Linked DNA regions of Neodiprion lecontei. The protein of the gene in region 1 purifies or fractionates together with the protein of each later gene. This does not show direct contact. Links are inferred from orthologs where the notes say so. Each region holds a gene or a part of one and is shown on either strand. Other genes may lie near its edges.

What was found.
Region 2: the proteins of DNA polymerase beta (region 1) and DNA ligase 3 purify together in Homo sapiens (affinity purification with mass spectrometry; 3 studies listed by BioGRID and IntAct, counting the BioPlex papers as one, with this or other methods). This does not show direct contact. The link is inferred for Neodiprion lecontei from reciprocal best matches to the Homo sapiens genes POLB and LIG3.

Annotation. Positions count from the first base shown.
Region 1 is NC_060264.1:26,378,690-26,388,900, forward strand, and holds DNA polymerase beta, read left to right. Parts: upstream 1-3,308; 5' UTR 3,309-4,197; coding exon 4,198-4,264; intron 4,265-4,340; exon of another isoform or gene 4,341-4,349; coding exon of another isoform or gene 4,350-4,365; coding exon 4,366-4,565; intron 4,566-4,694; coding exon 4,695-4,855; intron 4,856-4,984; coding exon 4,985-5,279; intron 5,280-5,364; coding exon 5,365-5,560; intron 5,561-5,637; coding exon 5,638-5,732; 3' UTR 5,733-6,350; downstream 6,351-10,211. Other genes in the region: zinc finger protein 62 homolog, read right to left, coding at 1-67, 251-605, 1,274-1,447, 1,938-2,069; heparan-alpha-glucosaminide N-acetyltransferase, read right to left, coding at 6,700-6,881, 6,968-7,151, 7,229-7,353, 7,451-7,727, 7,853-8,132, 8,223-8,330, 8,927-9,024, 9,099-9,220 and 4 more.
Region 2 is NC_060261.1:7,340,964-7,350,990, reverse strand, and holds the start of DNA ligase 3, read right to left. Parts: upstream 4,650-10,027; 5' UTR 4,499-4,649; intron 3,191-4,498; exon of another isoform or gene 191-3,190; coding exon of another isoform or gene 91-190; intron 1-90. Other genes in the region: uncharacterized protein LOC107224107, read left to right, coding at 91-190. UniProt on the Homo sapiens protein: Isoform 3 functions as a heterodimer with DNA-repair protein XRCC1 in the nucleus and can correct defective DNA strand-break repair and sister chromatid exchange following treatment with ionizing radiation and alkylating agents.

The DNA.
Region 1 (10,211 bases):
AACGTCGTAGGTTCAATCGTTCTACTATTACTAGGATCTTCCTCGCTTTCTTCCTTGACAGGTAGACCTGTATTAAAATCAAAATGTTCAAATTAAACACAGACTCGAAATCAATAATTAAATCAGAACACCATACTTGTCAGTTGAATACAACGTACGTTATTAAGATTAGAAATAAGTTCAAAAAACATTGAGCTTATTCTAGGAATTTTGAAACTATTAGGCAAACTAAATGAATTTCTTCGTGTACCATCATCACCATCGCAATCATCGTCAGAGTTTTCTTCATCATCGCTAGTTTCCTCTTCCTCGTCCTGTTGATGCGTTGTTGCATTAGTTTGGGACTCGGCAATCTGTTCATGTCCAGGTTGACTACTTGGACCAGGTACAGCCTGTTGGATAGGTTGGATAGGTTGGATGGGTCCAGTGCTTGTATCCATTGGCACAGCAGTTAATTGCTGCTGTGTTGAGCTGGGAATAATTAGCGGCATGCCTAGTCCCATGTTGTCTATAACTCCTATACCAATGCCAGGTTGAACTCCAGTCACCTGTATTGCTGTGCCTCCCAATCCGCTGGAACTGTTTTCTTCTTGTTTCATTGTACTCTGCGAACAAAAGTCATAATCATACTGTTAAAACTATGTATTATGGATAACCAACAATGATTAACTAGGGTTAATTAGATTTGAATGTGAAACTAAATGCCTGCACAAGCTTTTGATTGAGTTTGTAAACAGATCGCAGATACTATACCTATTTGGGAAAGATTGTAATATTTCGATAAAATTTATTTTGTATTTAAAAGAACGTTCTCAGTAGCAGTGTCACGATCTCTCTACATACATGTTGATCTAACACCTCTTTTAATTTTTGCCACTCTAAAAGTTCATGTCTAATACAAGACCACTGATAAAATTTTCGAATTGCATAGTAAAAAGTTTGGTGCAAAATAAAACTACAAAAATTTAAATGAACATAAGCCATTCAAATGAACAACCCAGTACACTTGCCAATAAAAAAAGATAAACTTGATATTAATTGTACCCTAATGTTGGCAGAAGATGTATCTCAACAATTATACTGCATTAATAGTTTAATTAAGTGAGTATAAACATACGTGTCCAAAATATTGTGGTCACTGTTTACGATTGTCAAGGTAAACAAGAAAAAAATAGAAGAGTAAATATGAGATTGTCATGTGTTCGATTTCGTGTTTCAAACACAGTCAAACTGAAGCAACATTGTTGTGTTTAGGGCAGATGAGTTAAATTACCGGATTTAGGACACCAGTGACATAGCCTTGCTTGTCCTCCAAGCCAACTTCGCCAAGCCATTGGAGTAGCTGCTTCTCGGCGTTTGCCGTTGTATTCCAAAATTGGTAAAGTAATTCTACTTTGTAAACGCAATCGTCGCATATCTTTTTAGGTAACTTGTCTTCCCGTGCAACCTGTAATAAAATTCATTTGTAAAATGCAGTTCGCTCAGAATCGCGTCTGTATTCATCTATTTGTACATATCATAGTTGTTAGAACAGCATTCGCCAATTAAAGTAGAATTATATACATAATTCACAGGAATAGAGTCCGGGACGCCGTAGCGTCCCTTTGTTAGGAATGGCGTCGGACCGCCTGCCGTAACGACGCGGCACGAGCAATAAGGAGGGAGGGCGAAGAAGGGGGGGGGGGGGGGGGGGGGGGGTTTGCAGAGCAGAGAAAAAGAAGGATCGATTTTACAACCACAGAACAGCAACACCGAAGCGGCATTTCACGTGCGAGATAAGAAACTGTAATAGCGGGAACAGTGATCGAGAACCACGCTGTGTACTCGATACATACGGAATCGATAAATTCATTGTAAATGGTAGGAAACAATAACCGTGACAAAATGGCGACCGTATATTGGCTGGCATAGAGCGATGGCGTAGTTTGTAGGCTTACCTTGACCGGCAAGCAGGCCGCAATCTTTAAAAAAATCTGCCTGACATCACCCTCACCCTCGAATATCGGTACGGACACACGATCTTTCATTAGACACAATCTGCACAAATCCAAATAGTCGAGGGACGACATTGTTCCACGTAAAACGCCACTTCGAGACGCAAGCCGCGCCCGTAGACGCGTTCGTTCCTTGAACTTTCAACAGAGACCAAGCTCAGCGGTGGGAGGCAAGTAGTGCCGGGCTGCCGGATCCGTTGAGGAGTGTGGCGACACTGACGACATCCCCCCCCCCCCCCCCCCTCCGAAACCTTCCGGGAACCGGCTATCGATTGGCCTGCGATGCTTGCCGAGCTTTACCGAGGCGTCTCGACGCCAAAACGAGTGTCACGAACGTCGGGTTGTGGACGATAAACGGCGATAATCGCGCTGGTGACTGTTAGCGACGAACGTCACTAGTTTAATATCATTGTACTAAATCTGATACGTTTCTAAAGTATTTATTACATTTTTCAATTTCAGTACCCGAATACGAAAATGACTCAGAAACGTATGAAACCCTCATTTGGAAAAGTAAACTCCTGACTATCGCGCCACCTGGAGACTGGAGAATGTTGCGTTGTTGTTGAGAAAAAATAATGCGTCGAGTAACAAAGGCAAACAACCAATTCATTAAATGACAATTTTGTAGATTGAGTTGTGTTGGGTTGGACGATCTGTTAATCGACGAAATGTTTTCGACGAATTCCGCGCAAATCGTGTTCAAAATATTTAAGCAGTGGTGTAAGAGTACATAAAAACTATTGTTTTACTGTATAGTTTTATAAGTCAAAGCTGTGACTCATACGATACGCTATAAATCAAAACTGTGATGTTCGTATGAGATGAAAAAAAAAAGAAAAAAACAATAAAACGCTAACGTGTTTACGTATTTATTATGTACTCTATTTGAAGCGACCGCCAATTTAGTAAGAAAATGCCAAATCTGTTACGATGTGGCGCTGCCGTCTAGTACTAAATGATTGCTCACTGTGGCAACGGTGAAGGCGACTGCTGGCCACGGCGTCGCAGTTGAATTAATTCATGTATAATGTTTCGATTTGTCTCAACTCACTACTACAATAATGCTGCCACCGCGGTACTCTGATACCGAACAATTAATAATTTAAGACAACAGACATTCCGTCGGGACGATTCTGACGCGGTAATCAAAAAATTATGTCGCAGCCGATGTATTCGCTTATAGCGCTATACATTTCATCGATTGCATGTATTATTCTCACAAGAATATGTACTTGACGATATTGAGATTAGATTAACACGATCTCTGCGGTCTCAACCCATCAATACACCGATACGTTAAATAAGAATTATCACGCATTATAAGACATGAAAGCGCGATAATTCCACGTTTTGACACGCATCCCAGTCACAAATCCTTACACTATGTTCTCACAGTCAGCTGTATGCTACTGTACAACTCGTTTCCTCAAAATATAGCGTATAAACTCGTAGGACACTGTCGTAGCTTTGGTCGTAACAACTCCACGTTGGGGTTGACCTTGACAGGAGGCAGCAACTGAAAGATTAAGAGATACGTAGTAAATAGGAACTTTCTAATTAGTGAACTTTCAAAATAAAATAAATTTCGAATAAGCTGCAGTGGTTCTTCATAAAAATTGTAACTAAAGAGCAGTTTCACTTATGTGATAACAATTATTCGACTTCAAATGCTGTAATTCCAATAATAATTCTAGTTTCATGTCAAGTTGGATCCACTTTTTTCGATATTAAGTGTTTGAATGAATATTTTTTTAGCGCTGCTGTCCGTATCATCAGCAACCAACAGTGTCATACTGCCGTTTGTTACCGACAGTGGACATAAGTAGATATCGCCACAGGGCTTCTGTAATTCTGTTACGGATAGTGTATGTTGGTAAATGTTCCCAAAGGTCTTCCGTGGTGCCGACAACAAGTATTGCTTACAGTTCTACGGTTCGTGTACTATCATGGTATCCCTAGCCGCCCTCGCCGACAAATACTTTCGTGTATACAATTGTCATCTCACTTCTGTCGAAACCTACGTATTTTCATATTCCTGAAAAGGGCACAACGACAGGAAAAAAGCAGAAGATTACGAAATTGCAGCTTTTGGTAGCAATTGAAAAGTGTAGAGGTTATACTCCAATTTGACAGTTCGTTTATTGCTTTCACGGCGATTGGCGATTAATAATTTTGAGATCCCTGTCAAAATACAAGAAAGATGAGCAAACGAAAGGCACCCGACAACGCAGACAATCTAAACAGTGATCTCTCCGATTTTCTGATAGGTATACATCGCCTCAGTTTCATTGAACTTTGACGCGCACTTACTGGGTGAAAGTTTGATGATCATTTTATCCAAAGTGAAAATGTATGAAAAAATTTGCAGAGCTAGCAAATTACGAGCGGAATGTCAGTAAAAACATCTACAAATATAACGCTTACCGTAAAGCTGCTGGAACTTTGGCTGCACTATCATACCGAGTGAAGAATGGTGAAGAGGCAAAAAAGTTGCCAGGGGTTGGAGAGAAGATCGCAAAAAAAATTGATGAGTTCCTTCAAACCGGAAAATTACAAAAACTTGAAAAAGTAAGTTATCATCAGTCATAATCTATAGTAACATGTGTAGGTCAATATCGATATCCTTAAACTCTATAGAACAATGAAATTTCATAACGCAGCTGTATTAGGATTTAACCTTGTATTTGTCATTTTCAGATTAATGCTGATGGCATCAGTGCTCCTATAAACTTGATGACCAGGGTATCAGGAATTGGACCATCGAAGGCAAAGGAATTGGTAGATGCTGGTATAAAGACTTTGGAAGACCTGAGAAAAAACCAAGATAAATTAACACATCATCAGAAAATTGGTTTAAAGTATGATTTTTACTACATTTGGAATCTTCCCTACCATTTTCGTAATCTCGAAACAATTTTTAATCAAGCTATTTCAAATTTTTTCTTCCTCATGATGTATTTGCAATAATTTTTTCCAATTTTTGGCAGGTACTTTCAAGATTTTGAACAGAAAATTCCAAGGGAAGAGGTGCGGCGACTCGAGACCAGTCTCAAATCAGTGATTGCTAATTTAGACAAAGAGTATATACTTACAATCTGTGGTAGTTATAGACGTGGAAAGGATGAGAGCGGCGATATTGACGTCTTGATAACACATCCAAAATTCACATCCGAAAGTATGGATGCGAAAAATAAAGGCGGTATGCTAAAAAATATTGTTAAACATCTTGAAAAGGAGGGAATAATCACAGAGACTATCTCTATCGGCAACACAAAGTTTATGGTATGCAGCTATATTAACAAAGAATATCTTGATTTGCATCAACACAGACTTAAGCATTGTCAAAATTGGAATTGCTTTCAAACAGGGTGTTTGCCGAGATCCAGCAGAATCGAGTAAACCATTTCGCCGACTTGATATCAGAGTTACTCCCAGCGATCACTACTACTGTGCCGTATTATATTTTACCGGCAGTGATTTATTCAATAAAAATATGCGGGCACACGCACTTAAAAAGAAATTTACGTTGAACGAGTATACCTTGAAACATCTAACATTGGAAGGTACGGATCAACATGCAAAATCCGGCAATCAACTTTAAAGTTTAGATTAATCGACCCTTTTACAATTTCTATTAAAGGGTTACCAGGGAATGCTGAATTAATCACAAGTGAAGAGGATATCTTCAGTAAACTTGGACTTCCATACAAAAAACCGGAAGAGAGGAATTCATAATGCCAAAGATTCACAAAATGTGATAATTCCAGGCCATGAAAGTATGCGCATCATAACATAGTGCATACGTATATGTATATAACGTTCTTTATTAATTCGATATATCTGGGTAGAAATCATACAAGACCTCATTAGCGTTGAGATCTATATTGTTATGAAATTATTAAATACTAATATTTTCAGCCATATTCTGTATCACAAAACGAAATGCGTAAATAGAAACTATATCTTAATATAAACTGAATTGGTCCAATTCTTAGCCTATTCTCTTTATATCTCTGTTACTGAAAGGTCAATAGTAATTATCGGTATCATGAGATGCCACACCTCATTTTAACAGTTTGGTTGAAACAAAATATTTATAACAAAACTAAAAATGCACCGCAAGCATATGCATGCGTATGAATATGTAAATAGTGTTGGAGAATAACATAAAATTACATATGTTATATTTTACTCAAACTACAACACCAATAACAAGCATTTACCCAAATTAAATGGGATTTGTCCAAAGCGGTAAAATAATAATTACATCTAACATAAGTATCGTCGATTAAAACGCTAACCATGGGGCCGATTTTGCTGTGCTTTCCGTTCAGACTACATCGTGACCCGACGCTCGCCTAACAAAAAGTTCACTGTCAGTCCCTGAGACTGACGCCATGCTTAGCGTGTTATAATGCCAAAATCAGTCAAACCAGTTTGAATGAATCTGACGAACATGGTCGGTTATTAACTCAAACACTTTTCTGTCAAAAATTAATTCTTACTAATTGGAACGAGTCGCTAAAGTAAATTATACATGTGGGCTAGTACAAACAGTGGGTGTATATTGCCCAAAACGACAGGCTTAAAATTAGATTATCATTTTTTTCATTCCACTTAATTATTTGACCAATGGTTTGGAATTCTGAGCTGAAGAAATTCCAAAACTTTCTTCTCAACTGTGGAATAGATAGGGTTGTGTCTATACTGTGAGAATAATTTCTTTCTTGTGAAGCACATAAGCAATAATGGCCCAAAGCGCCGTGGTCCACAAGTTTAGTGATAATACATTAGCATGCGTCCTAACTCCATTAATCGTCAAGGTCCAAGGAAATACTCCCATCGTAAAGTAATGCCCCATATACAAGAATATAGCATTTGTACCTGAAAAATAGTGAATGAAATCAACACGTATTACTTTAATGCAAAACAATTCAGAATAAAGTATACCAGAAAAGTTGGTAACTTGCCTGCGTAAAAGAACGGAGCTCCACTCCACCAATGTTGAAGATCAATCAGAATGTAGAGAATTGTATTCATGGCAAATGCTATACTAGATGTTGCGAGCACATAAGACAACGACATCATCGATTTATTCACAGGAATAACACCATCTTCTTTACTGAAGTTACATAAAATACCAGCCAAAATACCCTGCATAAAATAATAAATAATTCATACAGGTTTTTTTCAGAGTTCAGTATATCTGTGATCAATAGCTGTAATCTTACCGTAACCACAGACCACAAAAGCCAACGAATCACACGGGACTTTGCTTGGTGGTACGTTAGCATGATTCTACCAGCTTGAACACCCATATAAACCAGTAACACAGCTGAAATGGTGCTCATAATTCCTAGATGAGAGATAAGAAGGAGCACATTATAAGCAGTCTGAACTTTGTAGGTATGTAACAACGATACATTCGTGAGTCAATAATTGGATGTGCGAACCTTCAGGGTCATAGGGTGGGTGTTTTCCATAAACTCCGGACTTTTTCATATATATATGGTTACCGAAAATAGTTCTGTCGATGTATCCAGCTGCTCCTGCAGTACAATTAGCATGTGCTCCATGTTCATGAAGTCCACCTGGTCCTAAGTATCCTTTTGGACAACCAGGAACTGGTAGAAGGAACGTCAGGAGCAAGTGTGTGGTTGCAATGGCAATAATAACCAACCACTGCGCCCAAGCATCCAAAATGTCTTGGAGAAATTTTAGTCGGTCATACTGCGAATAACAGAATCCTCCCTCATCAATGGTTTGTTAATATTAGCATAAACATCACAGCAGATCGACTAATGATTCATCATAGATATTAAACAATCAGTTCAAAAACCAGTTTTAGAGCCAACCTGAAAAGTTCGTTGCGCCTTGGTGAATATAGCTTCAAGCGTCGCGCAGATAAAGTACGATACTCCCAATAATTGTAAGATTCCTGGAAATCTGAGATCGTTGAGTTTCAGAATTACGCAATTCTCAGTTGTTCTGGTTAGTGAGTTGATAACCAGGCCAAGAAATATCAAAGTTACAGATCGACAAAAACAACGTAAAATAATCCTGCTTCGGGATATAGATATCCTAAGTTGGGTACGCAGTGAAATTATTATGGTGAATCCCATGATCCATGCAAAGCTAAAATCAATCACAAAATTGGAGATCATCAAAAAAAGTACTTCGACTGAAAGTAACAAGAATATTTGTAGAGGTTTGTTTCATGCTTACAATGGCAACACCAAGTCTGCCAGTGTTATTCCATTCCATGGGCTATGATTGAAAAACCAGTATTTACCCCCACCATTGTTGACGAATATCATCAATAAAATCGCAATTCTGGGAAAAAAATTCATCCTTGAATTACATGAGGAAAAACCGGTTTGACCTGAACCATTAGCTAAATTTGAGATTCTTGTACCTAACAGAGTGCTTCGTAATCATTTTATTTTTTATACTAGTCTTACTTGAAAACCAGTATTTACCCCCACTGTTGTTGAATATTATCAATAAAATCTTAATACTGGGAAAAAATTCCTTCGAAACAAATTACATTAGGAGAAACTGGTTGCCCTTACACATAAGCTTAGTTTAAAAAATTTGTTAAACATTTTTGGGACGTTGTAACACAGTGTTTTGTTTGTTCAAGATGTTTAAAGTGCTGAAAATAAATCGAAAAAAATCCCCCTATCGTGGGCCAATGTCTGCATAATCGAAATGAAAAATAAAATTTTTCAGAATTTTTTCTGATTTTTAAATAATGCTAATTTGTAGATTAGTTTGAATAATTATAAAAAATTAATAGTTGTAGGAAAATATTTAAATAAACTCAGGAATGCTTTTTTGAAAATGGAGAATGTTATAAAAAAAAAAGGAAACTCATCGGTTGAGTTGCCATTATTTATTGAATGCCCCATTATATAATTATACGTTACCCACGAAAGGTGTCCAAAAATTTCGCTCGAGTGCTAAATCTGGTCACCCTCTCTATAGGCCTAGGTGAAGATTCGTTTTCCTGCAGTCTTCCCAGATCCTGAAATATAAAATACCAAACATCAGTAATATCAAAGTATTATAAATCACTTTCTCTTGAAAATATCCACTCACACTCTGAACTTCGGGCACATCTCTCCTTAAAAATCTGGTCATTAGTCCGGAGCGAACGACAAATGTTCCGAGTGCCCATGTGGCCGAGAAGAAAAACATGAGCATAAATGCTGCCAAAATTGCTGCAAAAATATTTACGTACAGAACTTCCAAGTTCCAATATAGCTTTTTCAAAGTTAAAATACTTAATTCCTTACGCATATATGGATTTGGTGGTTGATATGTGGTATAAATTTCCGAGCAGCTACGATCCGTCAAGTTCATTTCATAGTGTCCATGCTCCTCGAATTTAAAAGTGGTACTGAAAAATCATATATTATTGCAGAATGCATAGCAATAATTTCTCTATTTTGAAGGTCTGCTATGGAAAATAACATTATGCATGTAAACATATGGAAATATTTGTCTAACATCTTAAATAAAATTGTATGGTATACTTTTCCTACACCTGGTCATTTACTGGTGCTTGTTGAATTACTGGTACAGTTACCCTGTATATTCTGAATAGATCTTCAATCTTTAACCAAATCTCTACACATTTTTTCAACTTTTGCCAGTCAATTATAAATCTCCTGAATCTTTGCTAATGTCCATAAGAAAATTGATTGGTATGTGTAATAGAAAGCTGCAGTAGTATGCTGCAAAATATACCCACTGGCAGTATTCCAACCCATCCTGCACATAGTAAACATGATACGGATGCTTTGTGTCTACTGAGAGTGTTGTGTTGCTGTTTCCAGGTAAGACACTGCGTAGTGTTCCATTACACTGAAAATCATGACAATAAGTAAAGAATACCAAATTTGATTTTCCTGTTAGATTACGTACCAAGAAGCACTCTGTCGATTGTCCGTAAAATTTTATGCTGCCGTTGTTGCTATTGATTAGACTCAGGCAAGCTATGTCTATCCCAAGAGTTTTGTCATCGCAAGAGAAATTACCATTTCTCCCAACTAGAAGCTCCATGGTTTTCGAATGGTAAGAGACAAAGGCTTCAAAGCTGATGTATCTTTTCGCTAGCTAGGTGTAAGAATATAAAAGAATTTGTTAGGCATACTTTCTATGACCTACAGTACCCAGGTGGATTTCCCGCAGATTATACCGGGTTACAAA
Region 2 (10,027 bases), on another chromosome or scaffold:
TACACGAATATTTTTAAAACGAAAAAAAAAAAAAAAAATTCAAAAAAAAAACCGTAATAAGACCGTCTTGTATTGAATTTTGATGCGCAGGCTGTCGCAGATACGTCCGAAAATCCGATCACTCAGATCGTGGATCTCTCTTGGTCCAAGAACCATCAGCACTTTACCTGCACACCGGCCTATCTCCTAGATTTATATACATACAAATATATATATATATATATATATATATACATACACACACACACATACACACAATATTATGATACAATAGTGATTAGCAAATTATGATAACAATGATAACAATGATAACAATGATAACAATAACAGTTGGAGAGATTTCAAGAATTATATATTCAACTCGTTACCAAAGAACGTGAAGATTACATAACAATACCGATATATACACACGCGCTTACACACATATACAGTGCATGTTGTGCAAATGTAAAACAAATACACAATGCAAACGATTTGATGTTTTGAAAAAATTTTTTACTTCATACTTCATTTTCCAACAAAACTTGGTTCCAGCCTTTCATTTTTTCGATTCTCTGCTAACTTTGATTAAAAATCATCTCACTGAATTTCTTCGACTTTCGAAATAAAAATTTTTAATACATACACATGTCTAAAATAAGTACCTGAGGGTCTTGCGAAGAAAACTAGGATATAAAAAAAATATATTATATACATGTATAAAACATAACCGAAACATTAATCCCGGGTCTTGAAATTTGTTGGATGAAGAATTTTTTAGATATAAAATAAGAGACAAAAAAACAAAAATTGAAAGTACATTTGAAGCATAATGCAGTATCGATCAACCTACCTGTAAAACGCGTAAATCTTACGTACGTGATTGCTTGTTCCGTGTCTCTTGTGAAAAATTATACCGATTCTGACGTACGTATGAAATGTGGAAAAAATAACGAGACAACACGCATTCACACGCACACAACAACAACAACAACAGCATCAATTAATTACTGTAAAAACAAAAAACAAAAAACAAAAGAAAAAAAAAACCAACTATATATATTCATTCGCATTTAATATACATATAGTATATTTGTGTTGTACGTGATTAATGATTGAAATTTTAATGAGGAGAAAAAAAAAAAAAAACACCATACACAGATATATATACGAGACCGCGCGTTGAAAATTTGAAATCACGTAAATCGATAAAAAGGAAATCTACTCATACGGGTGCGTGTGCAAAATTATACACGCATATCGCGTATGCATATATACATACATATATTTTCCATGCATACCTGACCATACCTGCGAAATGATTTTGTCGAATCTCAATGAGAAATTTACGCTTATTAAGTTATTTTTAATCATTTTTATCATTCCCCCCCCCCCCGTTATGACGAATATTATATTTAATAAATGTAATATTAATGATTTTGTACGGATGATAGATTTGTTCTGTTCTCTTTTCTTTTCTTTTTTTATATTTATCATCATACTAACAATCTGTAACGAAATATCAAGCGATTGATAACCGTCGTTCCTTATTTATTATATAACGACCGTTCCGGGTCGGTAAACTGTGTTAAAAAATATTTGCAAAAAAAATAAAAAAAAAAAACAATGAAATCATTAAAATCGAATACAAACCCTGCAGAATATCGCTTGTTAGCTGACCTCGAGTATTCTATAATATACCTAATCTATGTACCGTAACACAATAGCCTCTATATATATACATATATATATATCTCTAAATTATATTACCGCTGCATACAAGCAAGGACGTTGCATTTGTAATTTTTGTAATTTATAAAAATTGTTATTCAAGAGAGTTCGAATAACAATTATCTGTAACAATATGACAACCATTAGATTTAGTTTGTAATTTTTCAACAATATTCGGCTTCCTCGAGTAGAAGGAGAAAAAAAATATGGAAAACACGTATCTTCAAAATGTTGTTTAAACGGAAAATTACTGAAGGTGGAATTTGAAAACACGATTTAGAAAAAAGGAAAACAAAAAAAACAAACGATTCTCTGAAAACGACGACTGCAATGTCTTTGAACTAATCGTTGTTATACTAAATAATATAAATTTATATTATTATATTATTGAAAACGTGAAATTATCCTCAAATCATATTTATTCTTTAGACTATTGTAATACGTATAAAAAATATTGTAACGTGTGTTTGCATGTGCGTGCTCGAAGGGTGCAGAGGTCGCCGGGAAATTATTACGTTTAACAAAATTACATTATCACACAATCGTATGGATTTCAAAGGAAAGAGAAAACAAAATAGAAGAAAAAAAAAAAAAGTAAATTGAAATGATTTTTAAACATGGATAATATTAAAACTTAGTTTCGCCGCATAAATATGTATAAATATATGGGCGCTTGGAGAGAGGAAAATTGAAAAAACAATAAGTAAAACATAAAAATAAAAGGGGGTTAATAATAATGAAGAAAAAAGAAATAAATAACTTATGTAGAACTGGATTAGTAATATTGTAATAAACTTGCATGCGAATTCAATCTTTGTGTTGTGATTATTTGACACAAAAATAGAAAAGAAGAGGAGGGAAAAAAAAAAAAAAAACCTACGAAAGAACTGAGAATTCGAAAAACGAAGGACGAAACTTCCGGTACTGTAAAGACAGTGTGGCTTCAGCACGTATCGTCCGATCATACAAAAAAAAAAAAATAAAAATTGAATGCCGCGACGTTTCTTACACTTTCCGCACGTCTATAGAAGTGATCCGCAAAATTATAAACAAAATGCAAAAGGCGACGCGAGATTGAATCGTTCATTCAAGAAACGAATGTAACACATTTATTCACAATTTCTGTTACGTAGAAAATGAGATAAATAAAATTTATACTTTGTAATCGCGTTCAGTATGAGTGACCGTCTGCACCCTTCGCATTCGATTACTGTTATTTATCGACACATAAGTTGTTATTCATTGTTTTTACCTTATTAAAATCTTTATTTATTTAACTTTAATATCGTTCGTTTGTTACTTCGTATTCATTTCACTTAATTTAACCAACGCGTAGATTGTTTGAATATTTTTTTTTTTTTACATTTACCGTTAAATTATACTACTTTGGTTTAAAAATATTTCCTATACATATATATTGTATATTTTTTTAATCAACAAAAGAAAAAGAAAAAAAAAAAAAAAACAAAACAAATTATTACATAAGGTAACCAATACCTAATTACACACGGGTATAACAATCGAGAAAATTATACTTAACGTGTAATGTATTTTTGGTTTTCTCACTTCGAGCAAAGCTTTAACTTATATACGAATACCGTACCTGTTTAAAAATTATTGATTATCTTTGTCTGTGTATCCACACGCATCGATTAGTTAATTAACGCTGTATAAAGTACACTCTGACACTTCGATCCGATGTTAAACACGTTCGTCTGTAATCGCCCTTAAATGCGTTTCAGGTAGAGGAAAAACAAAAAAAAAAAAAAAAAAACAAACAAACAAAAGAGAATTCAAGAGATAAAAGTTTTAAGTAACTACATATACAGTGACTATATAACACAATATTAGTATAAATATATATATAAATATATGAATATATATATATACATGTATAAAAATATATACCAAATATTAGATATTTTAGTGTAACTGAAACAGAATCATCTATATAGCATGTATAAATGTAATTCTATATGAAAGCAACAATAAATTATGTAACAAGAATATACCGCTGACTCCTCGTTCTTTCTGTTCATCAATTTTTCCACGATTTATTGTTAGTTAATATCATCTGTCGTAGAAGCTTTGAAACAACTCTCGACAAGCTCAGGCTTAAAAACTTGCCTCGATGCGGTAATTCTTTCAATAAAACAAGGTGAGTTGATGGGTGATGATATCGAGTGACGGTAAGATAGTAAACTTCAATGCAAATATCGGTATCAGTTTTCTATAAAAAAAAAAAAAAGAAAATTTGATTGGCGGAACGTTGTCAAGTTTAATGTTTAAAGTAAACTGACAGACGCATAAAAAATAAATAAATTTAAAAAAAAATTACAGAGATGTGTCAATAACGATGCAACTAGTACCTATTGATAATGCAATTGTTTTCGTTTCACCGTCTTACAAACAACAAGAATATCGGTAATGCAGCAAACGACTAACCATCAATCGCGCGGCACGAGTGCAGCGGCAAAAAAAAAAAAAAAAAAACCATCCATAAATTACGGACCGTTCGTCAAACGTTGCGTGGCTACGTTCGAAAACAGTGAGACGGAAAGACCTTTCATCCGGTGTGATTGCGGCATGACACGCAATCAGTAACGAGATAAGGATTCAAACAACCGCAGCAGTGATAAAGAAGCAAGTGTAGTAAGATCGGGTTAATTCTGCGTCACAAACAACGCCGAGTCTACGCAGCTAACGAAAACTCGAAACAAACTCTGAAAATGTAAACCTAACCTCAAGCGCCGCGAAACAACGCATAAATACGAAGCTTGCGACTCACCCTCCGCCGTTATCTCACCTCGATTCTTCCGCCCGTCTTTCGTCAACTTTAACGACGTCGTAAACTATAATCCGCATCCGGCCAGTTCACTGAATTCACAAAACGTTCTGACGAGATGTCACATTACACGCGATCGCACTCTCGGCTTTTGTTATTGTTACAGACGCTACCTTACCGACCGGATGAATCAGGAAACAGTCTTACTGGCTGCGACACGACGTGCTTTCAGTCGGTGAGCTTACCTCGTAACGTGCCGCTGGCTCCGTCGATTAACTCGGAACTCGAGCTGCGCTCGATCGATAATGTATGCCTGCTGCGAGTCGTTTGGCGAAAATGTTAACACCCCGTTGGTGAGTCGCGCCACGATCGGGGGGGGGATACGGATTGAAGGGTCTAAATTCATACCTATTGTCAGGATTTTTACTTTTATTGAAAGGAAAACTCTGAAAGCAATTTTAGTTTATCGACTTTATTATTTATAGTTTCAACAATGTTTTAGAATTTTTTTTTCATTGAAATTAAAAACAAAATGGCGGCATCGCGGATATAAGTACCGAACGACTCTGAAACTCTTGTCTTGTCCAACTTGTGACGGATAAAAAATTATTTTACTTTTTTTAATTTATTAAAAACACCGTTTCGGGTACGAGTTTGTAACCCAAATGTGTAACGTTTTCTTTTTCTTATTAATACTATACGATTGTGAACAAAAAATTGTTGAAAAAAAAAATGTATAAACAAATTTTGATATCTAAATTCAAAAAATGTAGCCGCAATATCGAAACGATAAAGTAGTTTTAAAGATTGCGTCAAAATTTCAAGTCAAAATCGAATTTCAGATCCGTAATCAGCGACTCCAAAAACTTGTAATTTATGTACAACAAGTTTACGTGCAGAGGAGCAACTTTCTCGGAAATGAATTATTCCTTCGATTTTCACGATTTTTTTTCGATCAACTTGTTTCTAACAATAATAATTCACATTGAATCGCAACGATAACTCTCGAACATTGAAAACCTATTTTAGTAAGCAATAAAAAAATAGCAAAAATCCACAAAGAAAAATGTTGAAAAGTTCTCTGAACGTACGAAAAAAAAAAGAAAAAAAATAGCTGTAAAATAAGTATGACTGAAAAAGTAAAGCCATGCACCGTCCACGAACAACGCCGAGGCTCTGCAAGCTTGAGCTTTTCGTCGAGCTTTGGTACGGGTTGATTTCGTTAACGGAAGCTGAGTGCACCGCTAGTCCATTTACTGCCCTCGCTTAGGCTTCTCTCGATCTCGTTTACTACCGCGTTCGCAGAGAGTAAAACTACCGTTGTGCTTTTATTTATCTACGCGACTGTTGAAAACAAAAAAAAGAAAACGCAGAAGAAAGAAATTATTCTTCGATAAAAATTTCACCCCTGTGAATAATTTAAGAATTCCGCCACTCTGTGAAATGTTTTTGCTCGTACGACTTGAAGGAAAACTTCAACGTACGGTTGTAATATCAAAGGATCGATTTCTCTGCCCCGAAGATAACGACAAACTTGCGTTTATGCTAATATTTACCAACTCTTTCCATTGATTCAAATCTCCGTTCGAAGCTTTTTCTCCTGAATGGTCATGTTTTACCACCTCACCACTGTATGTAAGAATAACAATAATATAACACCCCGAAAAACGAAGCTTTCATGAATTTCGAAGCGCAGCATCGAATTTTGCATGGAGTCTGACAGTGCTGCCAACTAAATTTACGGTGGGAAAAATTTCAGGAGCGAGAAAAGCTTAATATCACACTTTTCGATTTTCCATAAGAATAACGTAGGATAAATGTTGTTTGCTTCTTCTAGTTTTTTATAACTAGCTAACGAAGCGTCGTAAAAAAAAATTTTGCAGGAAATTGAATGCTCTACAAGAAAAGGTCTCTTGTCAAAATTTCGCAAAACTAACTGTGTCAAAGTTACAGCCTGTCAAAAGTTGAGTTACCTATAATTTGACCTTTTTTGAATATTACAGCGTAGCTACCGGTCTCATAAAAAAAAATGTGCATGAGTCTTTTTTTTTTTTTTTTTTTTTGTGAAGCGTAAATTTTACTTTAAATGGATGTTTAAATTTTTTTTAAAGTGTACAATAAAATTTGCGTTAAGAGAAAAGTGACAAGGATGAAAGTCGACAGAGGTATGAATTGAATTGGAATTAGGAGGCCGACTTTTCCCACAATATTATTTGTGAAAGGAAGGATATCGATTATCGGGTTGGGCTGCAACCCGCAGCAGACCCTTTTCCGTCAGGCGTTCGACGTGTTGCTCCGTCTTTTGAGAAGACGGACGATGATGAGACGGCTGATTGAGAACGAGGACGAGAGGCAGTCGAGTTGGCCTGCCGTTAAAATGGAACATTTTTTTTTTCCCGTTTCTTTTTTTCCTTCTTATTCCTCACATTTTATTTCCCTGTACAAAAGCTACCGATCGGATTATAGTCGATCAATGATGTTTCTGTCATTTTTTTCTCCTTGGTTTTACCTTATTTTACTTGTAAACACACAAATTTACGTGTATATATATAATACACGAGGCATTCCATGACGCGTCAATCAAGATTCTGAGTCGATGTTTCGAATTGGCTTTATAATATTTTTTTCTATCAAAGTACGCGACGAAAAACGCTATCGCAATTTTTTTACTCAATATTTCGACCCAGCGTATCCGAGCCATAATTTAAACACTCTTATAAAATGTAACAAAGTTTTTAACACGTATTAGAAGATGGAAATGTCACAACTTCAAAAGATAAATAAGAAAGATTTGAAGAAAAAAAAAAAAAAATTATTATTCTCGGACTTCATTTTTGAAACAAGAATAAACATAAAAGCTCTTCTAATGGGTTTCAAAAATTTTCTTATATTTTACAAGTCTTTTCTAAATTTTTACAGCTTTTTTTTTCCAAGTCTTTAAATCGTACTTCAGATAAGCTGGGTCGAAAAATTGCGATAAAAATTGCGATTGCGTGATTCGTCGTGTAAGTACTTTCATACGAAAACAAAAATTGATAATTGTGAGATTATTTTTGTATTTTTAAATTTTTTTATTCTAAGCACACTTGTATCCGATTTATTTATTCTCAGTTGGTATTTCTTCCTTCTCTTTAATTGTTCACACGGTCAAACAACGACCCTAAAAATGAACAAAAAGTTTGCAAGAGTTTTGAAAAGCACAAAGCAAAATGAAAGTATTCTTCGTTTGAAATGCGCGAATAATATGAATAGAATTTTTCATCGATTATCAATGATGTTTGTTCTTTTTTTTTTCCTGCGCATCGGTTTTTTTTTCCCGTTTCAAACAACGTTCAGCATCAACGATCAGATAAAATCAGTAATATAAGAGGAATTTCGAGCACAGCCGCACTAAACGTATGAAGAGAAAAATTTAATTTTTCTTTATACAACGTATCGAAAATCGATTATATAGAATTTATGAGAAAAACAGAGCCAAGTTCAACCAACAATAAAATTCAGTTAAATCGTTACTCTGATAATTACACCCGCCACGTGACCGCAATTATGTATCGACGATAAAACCGGGGAAAAAGAGAAAAAACTGAGCGCCATATTTAACACGGTTCCTACGCTTTTTGGAATCTGAAGTTCCCTGATTTTTTCAGTAACCTTTTATTTGCAAACAATAGCCTGCGATTATCATTAAAGTAAAAAAAAAGAAAAAGAAAAAAAGTGACATACATGGAATGTATGAAGTGGTGCGAAGAAACAAAATTTTGAGTGCAATCTTACTTTTTTTTTTCTCTTTCTTTCTTCTTCCTCATTTTTTTTTTTTCTTCTCCTAATATCGACGGTACTTTTTTTTAAGAACGAATTCATTTCTTCGACAGACTGAGAATTTCAATCTCATTTTCGAAATTCCCCAAGTTTTTCCGATTTTCCAGGTTTTCATGCGCACAGCTGGGAGAGGGCCGAGCAATCAATTGACGCAAGACTCGGTATTAACCATCGACAAGTGCTTTTCAACCGCGGGATTAAAGCGAAGGGGTTTGGTAAACATACGAGAAGTGCTTATACGCGGTCAGATAGTGCCTGTAAAGCTTTTTGGCGAGGGCAATCAATTGGCCGGGAGAGATAAGTCCTATCAAAACCGGATGTACGATCTATTATCCGGCTAAATTCAGGGCAAGCAAATGGATTACAAACGCCGCAAATAACACCTGTTCCTAGCGTCTTGACGATTATGATCATGGCATCCGCCATTTTCAATTTGGACATTGGACTCGATATTAAAAATCTCAGACGCGAACGCATATTTTCGTACCTGAGGTTAGATTTATTTATTTATTGTTCACCGAATGAACGAACAAAGTTCTTTCTTTTTCTTTCAAACTCTTCGTTCAAATTTCACGTAGTTTGACTGATGTAAGTTTGAATGTGGAAGAAAAAAAAAATCATTCAATCTAAATGTTTATAGCCATAGAGAAACACGTAGGGAACTTTAAAGATATTGATTTTTGTGTGACTGGTGAGTATCTCAATAAAAGAGGTTAAATTTTTAACAGAAAAAAATGGCAATCGTTGGATAATAAATAATTTTTAAATTGATTTGTCGAAAATCCCCTTGAATTATTGAATATTTGTTGTGAGTAATTTTTTGTATTATATTTAAATACATGCCCAATAATTTCCTTAAAATATTATTATCTCGTTACCTTTTCTTCCGTCCAGAAAAATAAAAAAAAAAAAAAAAAACAACTCTCAAGAAAGTTTTTACAGTGATGTTAACCCTTGAAATAATCGAATTTACAATTCTTCGGGAATTCTGACGTCAATATAACGAAAAATTGAACACAAATCACTGTTTCTCAACTTTGGAATGATTTGGACGGAAATGAATTTTGAAAGTGCGAACATCTTTCACTTTATTACGATTTACCGACTTTAACGTAATTCCAAAGTTGTGGAATACTTGATGTTTTTGTTTTTTTTTTTTCCACTAAAAATCCATCGTTATTCATTAACGATACGAAATTCAACCTCATAGATCAAATCGCCCAAGGGATTTAATTTTTTTCCTCAACTGGTTAGTTCACCGTTAAACGCAGGTGAAATACAAAACCGCTATATTTTAATTACACAAAATAAACTCATGCTTGATTAAGGAAAATATTAACTTTATAGAAAAATTATATTACACGTTTCATTTATAGAGAATCTACTTATACATATACTGCCGGACAAAATGAGAGCTTAGTAACAAAATATTTTTGGTAATTTTTCTACGGACAATAAAAACTTGAAATCTCTTCCGACTGTTGAGCATCGATAAAACGTAGCTAATTATTTTATTCCTTTTTCGAATTTGTTGCACGAGTTTCAATTTTCTTCGTGCGCGTGATAATCCGCGATAACTGTATTACAGAAATAAAATTCACAGCTCTACTAAACGTCTTCGATCTTAATTTTATAAATATTTTTCACTAAACTACAAATCGATATTGTTATTAAAAAAATATTTGTGCTTTAGCGTTAATTGGTGTATTTTTT